3 linked regions of the Daphnia pulex genome follow. The protein of the gene in region 1 purifies or fractionates together with the protein of each later gene. This does not show direct contact. Links are inferred from orthologs where the notes say so. Each region holds a gene or a part of one and is shown in the gene's direction. Other genes may lie near its edges.

Region 1 (3,756 bases):
GTTTTTGGTAAGCCTCTTGTTTTACGAAATAATTAATGAATTCTTAATCATTCGTTGAACAATTACTACATACGAGGTTGCAGATCGGCTGGAAGTAGTACAAGCCAGGCCCCCAATTAACTTTGCGGAAGAAGGAAGAAAAATTGACAAATATCACGTTTTGGGACTTCGCGGCAATTTTCACCGAAGGATTATATATATCAACAACATAGTACGTAATAAATATAATGGCAAATTGATTTGCACACATTTTTTGTCGTCTCTTTCTAATGCTTTGAACGATTACTTCCCATTTTTAGCTTTCAGACAAAGACTTGCCTAGAAAAACAACCAAATTAGCTGGCAAATTGGTAAAGAACAGTGTTCAGTTGGTTTTGTTGAGCTATTTAGATTACTTTACTGGCGGAATAACACCTACACTACGGAAGACGGTGACAGCGAAACACGGTTAATCAAAAATGTATAATTGTTTTGTTATTTACATTTAAAGTAACAACCCTGCTAAAATACTATGTCAACCATGAAACTGTTCATCTACAAAAGAATGAAAATTTACAAAAATCGAGGTATATTTTTTCCATGTGAAAAGTAACACAAGTCTCTTTCTCTCCCGTTTGGGAATCCCGTTACAAAAATGAAAATCTCTCTAAGTCTATGTCTCACTCAATGTACACTGAATTCACTTAACGTTTGTCCTGAAAATGCACGTGTCTCTGATCCAACAAATTTTACTTTATAACATTCTGAATTCCACATTTTCTAAAATTTTCATTTGGAAAAAGTCAGTAGATGCTAAATGGTTTGTGTAAAACAATCATAATCGAATATATGCATAAAAAATCTAAAAAAAAATTTGATTACGTTTGCGTTGAAGTAGTAATCGACACCAAAGATGTGTTTCAGACAGCCACTAGGCTAGCTAATGAGCTTTTGTCAAGAAATCATTGCTCCTTTTTATGCCTTTGAAAGTTGGAGCTAAAATCAGCATTGCCATGTTTGATAATTTTTTTAAGATTCGAGGAAAGTAGTAAATAAGTCGATAAGTGTTTTAAAATTTCATATAATTTAATTTAATAAAATTTAATGTTGATGTATAATATTACAAATGCTTTAAAAAAGAATGTAAAGCGAACAATCAATTCAAAACCGTTTCCATGGATACCACCGGCGTTGAACGGGAAGGATAGGAAACTCAACGCACTGTAAAAAGCAAATCATGGCGGTAATATATACACGTGTTATAATTCTTTATTTTGGATAAAATGGCTAATTTTTCCGTTTCCCTTGTGTGCTTTTTTTATTTCTGGACCATATCGTTTCATTTTTTAGGCGATCCCATCAGTTAAAGTAGCAGAAGTGCGAGAATTCTCTCGAATTGAACGAATCGGTACTCACTCTCACATTCGAGGTCTTGGACTTGATGATGCTTTGGAACCAAGAGAAGTACTTTTGAATAATTTGAATAAAAGAATCGTACAAGTTACATATCAAAATGATTGTTAGGTGTCCCAAGGCATGGTTGGCCAGTTGACAGCACGACGAGCTGCTGGTGTGGTACTGGAAATGATTAGAGAAGGAAAAATTGCGGGGAGAGCAGTATTGATTGCTGGACAGCCAGGAACAGGTTAACATTGTCTTTGAATCTGCAATAAACATCCCATTATTTGGTTTATAACACTTTGGTTTACTTTTTAGGCAAAACTGCAATTGCCATGGGTATGGCACAGGCTCTCGGGGACAACACACCTTTCACATCCATGGCCGGATCGGAAATCTACAGCCTTGAAATGAGCAAAACTGAAGCTCTAACTCAAGCATTTCGAAAATCTATTGGAGTTCGAATCAAGTAGATGTGAACTCAAAATTTGTTCAACCTAGAAATCTTGTAACCTTATTTTTCATTTGTTTTCAACAGAGAAGAAACTGAGATCATTGAGGGTGAGGTTGTTGAAGTTCAAATTGATAGACCTGCTACCGGAACTGGTGCTAAAGTTGGAAAGCTGACATTAAAGACAACAGACATGGAAACTGTGTACGATTTGGGCAACAAAATGATTGAATCCCTCATCAAGGAAAAGGTGTGTAATTTGTTTGACAAAAGTGTTTCAATTTTGTATACATATCTTTGTGTGGTTCAGGCCCAAGCTGGAGACGTCATTACCATCGACAAAGCCACTGGCAAGATCTCGAAACTCGGACGATCGTTCACTAGGGCTAGGGATTACGACGCAACTGGACCGCAAACCAGATTTGTTCAGTGTCCCGAAGGTATATTATTTAAATTCCAGTTTTGGTCAAGTGGTTTACGACGACGACGACGACATCGTACGATATTCTTACACCACTCCTATTCTATTTACGTAGGCGAATTACAAAAGCGGAAAGAAGTGACTCACACAGTCACCTTGCACGAGATTGACGTAATCAATAGCAGAACTCAGGGTTTTCTCGCCCTCTTCTCTGGTGAGCTCACATACATTTTTAATTTCCCGACCTTGAAAGTTTACAAAATTAAATCTCTTGTTTTGCATTCAATAGGGGATACTGGTGAAATCAAATCCGAAGTCCGGGACCAGATCAATAGCAAAGTCGCCGAATGGCGCGAAGAGGGCAAAGCGGAAATCGTCCCGGGAGTTTTATTTATTGATGAAGTTTGTGATTAAATCTTCATACCATTCTCCTTCCTGCATATATTTATTCGTACCGTCATGTCTCGACGTAGGTGCACATGCTAGACATGGAATGTTTTTCATTTTTGAATCGTGCTCTGGAAGATGATATGGCGCCAGTGTTGATTATGGCCACTAATCGTGGAATTACTAAAATTCGCGGAACCAAATATCGGAGTCCCCACGGCATCCCAATTGATTTGCTTGATCGGATGGTGATCATTGCCACGCAGCCGTACGTGGAAAAGGAAATGAAGCAAATTCTGAAAATCCGGTAAAATTATCATTTCAATTATTTGATGCGTTGGCTTTGCCTTAATTGATATTTTCTTTGCACAGGTGCGAAGAGGAAGACGCCGAGATGACGGAAGATGCTCTACTCGTTTTGACGAGGCTTTCCTTGGAAACTAGCTTACGCTATGCCATTCAGCTCATCACGGTTGCTAATCTCATAGCTCGCAAACGAAAGGCCATGGAGGTTGGTATTCAGACTGTATTCAGACAGCACGTTATTAATCATTTGCTTTATGCTCTTATCTAAATAGATTGCCGTAGAAGATATTAAAAAGGCGTACACGCTATTCCTGGATGAAACCCGTTCCACCCAGTATCTGAAGGACATTCAAGATGAATTCATGTTTAACGAAGAGGACGAACCAAGTAAGTACCTGAATCATTACGTCTGAGATTTTCTTTTGTGTATTCATTGAAAAATAACATTTTTACAGAATCTGACGTCGCCATGGAGACATCATAACTTAACTCAAAATTCCATTTTGAATGAAAAAGCTTTTTTTTTCCACATTTGTATCGTCTATCAAATAATCCCGTCAAAATAAAAAAGACGCCAAAAAAACAAACAACTACACTCACACGTACTGTTTAAACTGTTTTTCTTCCCGCCTCGTAATAATTGTGTACACCCGAAAAGAAGACAAAAAATACAAAAACACTTTCGGTCAAGCTGCTAGTTTCGGTTGATAGGTGGCTCTGAATGTCCTAAACTCGTCGCTTATTTGCGTCCGTTTGTTACGACTTTTGTGTAAGTAATTTTTACCACGAAAAAGAAGGGGAGGGTAGAAAAAGA
Region 2 (2,824 bases), on another chromosome or scaffold:
GACGACGCCAACCAAGGAGCGCCAAGACGGACCGAGCTGACGAAGACGAAACAAACGCGGGCGGATCGCAGGAGGCGGCTTTGACATCCGCTCAGGCTGCCCAGGAGGAACAGCAGCAGCAGCCACAACTACCATCACTACAAATAGATCAGCAGACCTCTTAAACAACCAACGTTAGCGCGCCCAGCCTGCCCGGCAGACTTTGAAAAACAACACAAAAAATTCCCGTCTCTTTCCCTCTAGATCTTTTCTTCTCTTTCCGGAAAAGTCCTTAAATGATCCGGCGTCGTTTAATGATCCGCTTCCCTTTCATTCTTTTTTCTCTTCTCCAGGGCAGCCCGGCGTGTTGTGTGATATTTCTCCCGTTTGCCGGCCAATGTTTCGCACAATAAAACCAAAATTTGTAGAAGGAAAAAGCTGAAACTGAATGATAGTCAATTTGTCTGTGTGTGTGTTTTGTAAATTCTTTGGCTGAGCTGGGAAATGTTTGGGGGCTAAACGGCAATACACAAAAGTTTAGTACTAGACAATGAAGAGAGATGGAAGCGATTTCTATGGGTTTTTTATTTTGCTTTCTTTTCACCGTTGAAATAAACGCTGGCTGGTTTTCTACGCCTCAATGGAGTCGGCCGGCCTGCACGGCAGTTATATCATGTAATAACAGTTGTTTGGAGAGGAAAAAAATTGACCAATAGCTCTTTTTGTGTTCACCAGCATTTATTCCGTGTGGGAGGAGGAAATGGCTGTTTTGTGTCGGGACTCTTTTCCGCTTATTTTATTTTGATTTTACAGGGCGGATATTTCGTTTGCATTTACACACACACCAACGCCAAAAAACTCTCCTCCGTATTATTTTATTTCTTTTCCTTCCCATTTTCTGCTTACGCTTCGTGATCGTGATGATTCAACTGGTTGTGACCTTGGGAAATGGACACGGGAAATGGGAAAAGTATTTCGTCGGAATGTTTCGCCCAGGACATTCTAAGAACCGTGCCTGATTTATCATTCGACAATCTTGGTGTTGTTCAGATAACGATTAACTAACGTCGCTGGATTAAATAAAACAGGATGTTTGTTTTGTTTTGTTTTCTCTCCATTTTGGCTGACTGAATTAATTTCTGTCGGGTCAATTATGAAACATTTATACAACAACAGTTTTTTTAATTAAATTGTGAAAAAGAAAAAAAACAAAAACAAACTGACTAGCAGTTGAATAGTTGAATCACAGATGGCGTGTCTGCTAGCATAGCAGACGCACCTAATCCTACCAAAACCAAATCACAGATGGCGTTGCGGAGTGTGTGTGTGTAGTATTTTCACTTGTCAGAAGGGAGCCGGTTGTTATTTTCGTTTTCCTCAACCACTAGTCGAACGTCGGAGAAATCTCCATTCAATATCAACGTACTCAGTTAAAATCGATTGAAATATGGCCGTTAAAGAAAAAACTGAAGGAAACGAAGAGACTTTGGAGGCTGCAGAAGTGGAATGGGGTACCGTCGATAACGAATTGCAGCTGTTACAAATTCTGTGTGGCACCAGACCCATAGGTAATAAGATAAACGTTTGAAAATGACGACGATTTTCTACACTTGTTTCACAGCAGGTTTAATTTGTGTTAAATATTTAAAACATTTTCTTTTTTACAGGAATTAGTAAATACTTTCAAATGGCCTGCATCGTAGAAAAACTGGCAATGAATCTGAACAAAGAAGTCACTTCCAAAGGTGTTTGGGATCACCTGGCGAGCTTGTACGATCTCAAGAAACTGGTTTGTTCACTGTCATTAATATTCACTGTATTGTTTTGTATTAAAGTGTTTGTTTCTTTCTCTAGGATGAGCACGAGACGATTCCTTTCCCCAACGAAGAAATGGACTTTGTCCTTTCCACTGAGGAGTATGGCGAATTGATGGATAGCAAATTCAAGGATGCTGAATCCAAGAAAGTGATAAAGAAGGAAAAGGAAGAAGTTAAGAAGGAAAAAGTTCCTGAAACACCCCAGCCAATTGAAAAGAAAGCTGTGAAAAGAACAAGAGCCAGCACTGCCCCAAGCCCTGGAACACCGCAAATCACTCCAAAACGTCGACGAATTTGAAAACAAGAAGATGAATGACTTTTTTTTTTTTTACCATGTCAACTTTTTCGGCACTCGTACATTATTGATTGCGAAACCGTTTAATGAAATTTTGTAACTCGGGTATTGTGTTAAAAAAAAAATTTCGGCCGGACTAAAAAATGACCGCCCACTTCAAAATCATGCGTTTGAATTTTTATTCGTTAGAAAAACCTTTCCATCTTCAGTTTAATTACCTCACTTATTTTAGAGAGTTAAAAAAAAGTTGTCGATACGATTTCCTGTTTCTCAAGTGTATGAAAATTATAATAATTAAAAATGAATTCGACGTGACCACATTTCGAAAGAGTTGTTGGAAGAGGCATCGGAAGGAAGAGAATGCACCGGTTTTGTAGTGCGTTTCATTGCCACTTGAAAGCGCCCCAGTGCAGCACTGCGAGCAACTGTTTGTTCTGTTCTTCGGTTTTTTACAGAGCCCTCGCCGACGATGTGCTGGGATTTGCAACGTGTATTTTCATTCGTATAAAAAATTGATTGAAGAATTTATCTAAGTCGGGTAAGAACAACATTGATCAATAGTAGGTTTCTCTATCGATTCCAAAACGAAGCCAAAGTTGAGATAATTTAAGGATGAATCACCATTACATTTTCGGCCATGTGATGTCGCCCTATGAGTGTGTGTCTGTGTGTGTATCAAGTGAAGAGAGGGAGGACGTCACACACTGAATTCTTGAAAAGCTCATCAAATTAT
Region 3 (3,749 bases), on another chromosome or scaffold:
TTAAGCGGTTATTTTTATTTTGGTTACATCGCGAAAGGTCAAATTCATGTTTTTTCCAGCTATAATGCCCGATTGCAGGGCTGTAATTATCTCTAGCGGGACTATAAGTACCAGCCGGTCGACTCCTTCCTTCTTCAGTCGAAAGCAGAAGAAGGTTTTTCCCATTTGCTCCATTCAACTCCATAAACTTCAACCGGAAAATGTCGGCTACGTTCGTCGTTATGCTCTGCCTCGTCGCTTTCTCCTCTGCTGCTCCTCGTAAGTGATTTTTTAAATCTAAAATTTTAGTTTTATGTAACATGGGCTTTTTCAAGCAATGCTCTTTTACGATTTATGAATATATTTGAATAGAATTGGCGGTCCCAGTACCGGTATTTGCTCAACGACCATTGGATCCGGTTTGTCTCTTGCCACCACTCAACCCCAAAGTGCGTTGCAATCAATTTTCCATCAAGTGGTACTACGACTCTGCTACCAGGGATTGTGAAAAGATTTTCTACACTGGCTGTGGAGGATCTGAAAATCTATTCGCCAGCGAAGACCTTTGCGAATTGCGCTGTGATCAAGATAATTTCGACAGCTACGAGAGCGTTGAGGACTTCCAGCAATATCCCTCGTTGCAGAAATTCAGATATTTCGTTCTTGGCAAGTAATCAATTGATGTAAAATGCTTTTCTCTAGCACAACGTTGTTATTCTTTTATTTTAAAAAGTAATTTAAAGAATTGTTCTTACATTGATCACATGGATTGTCTTTCAATGTAATCTATATTATTCAGTTAAAATTAATTTTGAATACACTTCTTATTTACTCACACAATACGAGTTGTTTCGTGTTTTAAAGAAAATATTTTTTTACCGACTTTTAAATAAACCGGCGAAATTAAAATATATCCGGCAACGCCACCTTGCGTCTCATTTTCGATTTGGCCGGCAGATGTCGAAATTGAGTTTTTCCGACAAGTGCGACAACAGTGAACGAAAGTCGACTGCCGGCTGCAAAGGCCAACGAATCTTTACATTGCAGTCGTTTTCTAATTCATAATTAATTTGTCGATTCGTATAATAACACAATGTACGATCAAGACGAAGGTAACATCAAAATATGATGATATTCATACATTTTTTTCTCATTCTAACGTGTCTTTTACTTAAGATCCGATCGAGGATGAAGATGGCGAGGAAATCTCTTCAGAGCTTTGGCAAGAAGCCTGTTGGATTGTCATCAACGCATATTTCGATGAAAAAGGTCTTGTGCGACAACAGCTTGATTCGTTTGATGAATTTATTCAGATGTCTGTACAAAGAATTGTTGAAGATTCACCTGCCATTGACCTTCAGGCAGAAGCCCAGCATTCTTCGGGGGAAGTAGAAAACCCTCCGAGATATGTCCTAAAATTTGAGCAGATTTACCTCTCGAAACCTACACATTGGGAGAAAGATGGTGCTCCGACAGCCATGATGCCTAATGAAGCAAGACTAAGAAATCTCACCTACTCTGCCCCGTTGTATGTTGATATCACGAAAACTGTGCACAAAGAAGGGGAAGAGCAGGTCGAGACACAGCATCAGAAAACATTCATTGGCAAAATTCCTATCATGTTGAGATCCACTTATTGCCTGCTGAATGGAATGAATGATCGTGATTTGTGTGAATTGAATGAATGCCCTCTCGATCCTGGTGGATATTTTATCATCAACGGCTCAGAAAAAGTATTGATTGCTCAAGAGAAGATGGCCACAAATACAGTGTATGTCTTCAGCATGAAGGACGGCAAATTCGCTTACAAGACAGAAATTCGTTCCTGCTTGGAACACTCGTCACGTCCAACCTCCACCTTGTACGTCAACATGTTGGCACGTGGTGGTCAGGGCATCAAGAAATCCGCCATCGGCCAGCGTATCATTGCCATTCTGCCCTACATTAAGCAAGAAATTCCCATTATGATTGTGTTCCGAGCCTTAGGTTTCGTGGCCGATCGAGATATTCTCGAGCACATCATCTACGACTTTGAAGACCCCGAAATGATGGAAATGGTGAAACCTTCGCTGGACGAAGCCTTCGTCATCCAGGAGCAGAATGTTGCCTTGAATTTCATCGGTGCTCGCGGTGCCAGGCCTGGTGTCACCAAAGAGAAGCGTATCAAGTACGCCCGTGAGATTCTCCAAAAGGAAATGTTGCCTCACGTTGGTGTGTCCGACTTTTGCGAGACGAAGAAAGCCTATTTCCTCGGCTACATGGTCCATCGCTTGCTGCTGGCTGCCTTGGGACGCCGTGAGCTGGACGATCGTGATCACTACGGCAACAAACGTCTGGATCTCGCCGGACCGTTGATGGCTTTCCTCTTCCGAGCCCTTTTCAAAACTCTCATGAAAGAAGTCCGAATGTACGCACAGAAATTCATCGATCGAGGAAAAGATTTCAATTTGGAACTGGCCATTAAGACCCGCATCATCACCGACGGACTCCGTTACTCGTTGGCCACAGGAAATTGGGGAGACCAGAAAAAAGCCCATCAGGCCCGCGCTGGTGTCTCTCAGGTGTTGAACCGATTGACTTTCGCTTCGACCTTGTCACATTTGCGTCGCCTCAATTCGCCCATTGGTCGTGACGGTAAACTGGCCAAACCTCGTCAGCTCCAGTAAGTCATTGATTTCAAATTATTTTCATCGGCTTTTGTTTATTACATAACATTTTTTAAAACTATTTTAGCAACACGCTGTGGGGAATGGTTTGTCCAGCCGAAACGCCCGAAGGAGCTGCTGTCGGTCTCGTCAAGAATTTGGCTTTGATGGCCTACATTTCAGTCGGTTCCCAACCGTCGCCCATCCTCGAGTTTTTGGAAGAGTGGTCCATGGAGAACTTGGAAGAAATCGCTCCGTCTGCCATTGCGGATGCCACCAAGATTTTCGTCAACGGTTGCTGGGTGGGTATCCATCGCGACCCGGAGCAGTTGATGGCCACCCTGCGCAAACTGCGTCGTCAGATGGACATTATCGTGTCTGAAGTATCGATGGTGCGCGACATCCAGGACCGTGAAATTCGAATTTACACGGACGCCGGCCGTATTTGTCGTCCATTGTTGATCGTCGAGAACTGCAAATTGTTGCTGAAGAAGCGCCACGTTGACATGCTCAAACAGCGCGAGTACATCAATTTCAGCTGGCAGGAACTGGTGGCCACTGGTGTAGTCGAGTACATTGACACTTTGGAGGAGGAGACGGCCATGATTGCCATGTCGCCCGAGGACTTGCGCCAGGTAAATTTTCTGCATTGATTTTTTCTTTCCCTACCCCACCCCATCCAGCCGTTGAATGTTTTGCTTTGTTTATCCAGGGTAAAGACGCCTACTGTACGACGTACACGCATTGCGAGATTCATCCGGCCATGATTTTGGGAGTTTGCGCCTCGATTATTCCGTTTCCCGATCACAACCAGTCGCCTCGTAACACTTACCAAAGCGCCATGGGTAAACAAGCCATGGGAGTGTACATTACTAACTTCCACGTCCGGATGGACACTCTGGCCCACGTCCTGCAGTACCCTCAGAAACCTTTGGTCACGACACGCTCCATGGAGTACCTGCGCTTCAGAGAGTTGCCCGCCGGCATCAATTCGATTGTTGCCATTCTCAGCTACACCGGATACAACCAGGAGGATTCCGTCATCATAAACGCTTCCGCCGTCGAACGAGGATTCTTCCGCTCCGTCTTTTTCCGATCCTACAAAGATCAAGAGTCTAAACGATC

The links.
Region 2: the proteins of ruvB-like 2 (region 1) and MRG/MORF4L-binding protein-like purify together in Homo sapiens (co-immunoprecipitation; 5 studies listed by BioGRID and IntAct, counting the BioPlex papers as one, with this or other methods). This does not show direct contact. The link is inferred for Daphnia pulex from reciprocal best matches to the Homo sapiens genes RUVBL2 and MRGBP.
Region 3: the proteins of ruvB-like 2 (region 1) and DNA-directed RNA polymerase II subunit RPB2 purify together in Homo sapiens (affinity purification with mass spectrometry; 3 studies listed by BioGRID and IntAct, with this or other methods). This does not show direct contact. The link is inferred for Daphnia pulex from reciprocal best matches to the Homo sapiens genes RUVBL2 and POLR2B.

What each region holds. Positions count from the first base shown.
Region 1 is NC_060021.1:8,103,853-8,107,608, reverse strand, and holds ruvB-like 2, read left to right. Parts: upstream 1-1,120; 5' UTR 1,121-1,216; coding exon 1,217-1,222; intron 1,223-1,329; coding exon 1,330-1,443; exon of another isoform or gene 1,444-1,503; coding exon 1,504-1,624; exon of another isoform or gene 1,625-1,643; intron 1,644-1,695; coding exon 1,696-1,846; exon of another isoform or gene 1,847-1,885; intron 1,886-1,915; coding exon 1,916-2,078; intron 2,079-2,138; coding exon 2,139-2,268; intron 2,269-2,364; coding exon 2,365-2,463; intron 2,464-2,538; coding exon 2,539-2,651; intron 2,652-2,722; coding exon 2,723-2,943; intron 2,944-3,008; coding exon 3,009-3,147; intron 3,148-3,214; coding exon 3,215-3,329; intron 3,330-3,397; coding exon 3,398-3,426; 3' UTR 3,427-3,632; downstream 3,633-3,756. Other genes in the region: uncharacterized protein LOC124194162, read left to right, coding at 1-7, 77-211, 300-452. UniProt on the Homo sapiens protein: Possesses single-stranded DNA-stimulated ATPase and ATP-dependent DNA helicase (5' to 3') activity; hexamerization is thought to be critical for ATP hydrolysis and adjacent subunits in the ring-like structure contribute to the ATPase activity.
Region 2 is NC_060018.1:12,249,251-12,252,074, reverse strand, and holds MRG/MORF4L-binding protein-like, read left to right. Parts: upstream 1-1,280; 5' UTR 1,281-1,426; coding exon 1,427-1,547; intron 1,548-1,646; coding exon 1,647-1,768; intron 1,769-1,833; coding exon 1,834-2,094; 3' UTR 2,095-2,253; downstream 2,254-2,824. Other genes in the region: tRNA dimethylallyltransferase-like, read left to right, coding at 1-164.
Region 3 is NC_060022.1:1,081,489-1,085,237, forward strand, and holds the start of DNA-directed RNA polymerase II subunit RPB2, read left to right. Parts: upstream 1-921; 5' UTR 922-1,072; coding exon 1,073-1,091; intron 1,092-1,155; coding exon 1,156-2,641; intron 2,642-2,712; coding exon 2,713-3,259; intron 3,260-3,336; coding exon 3,337-3,749. Other genes in the region: kunitz-type protease inhibitor 1-like, read left to right, coding at 201-258, 352-653. UniProt on the Homo sapiens protein: Catalytic core component of RNA polymerase II (Pol II), a DNA-dependent RNA polymerase which synthesizes mRNA precursors and many functional non-coding RNAs using the four ribonucleoside triphosphates as substrates.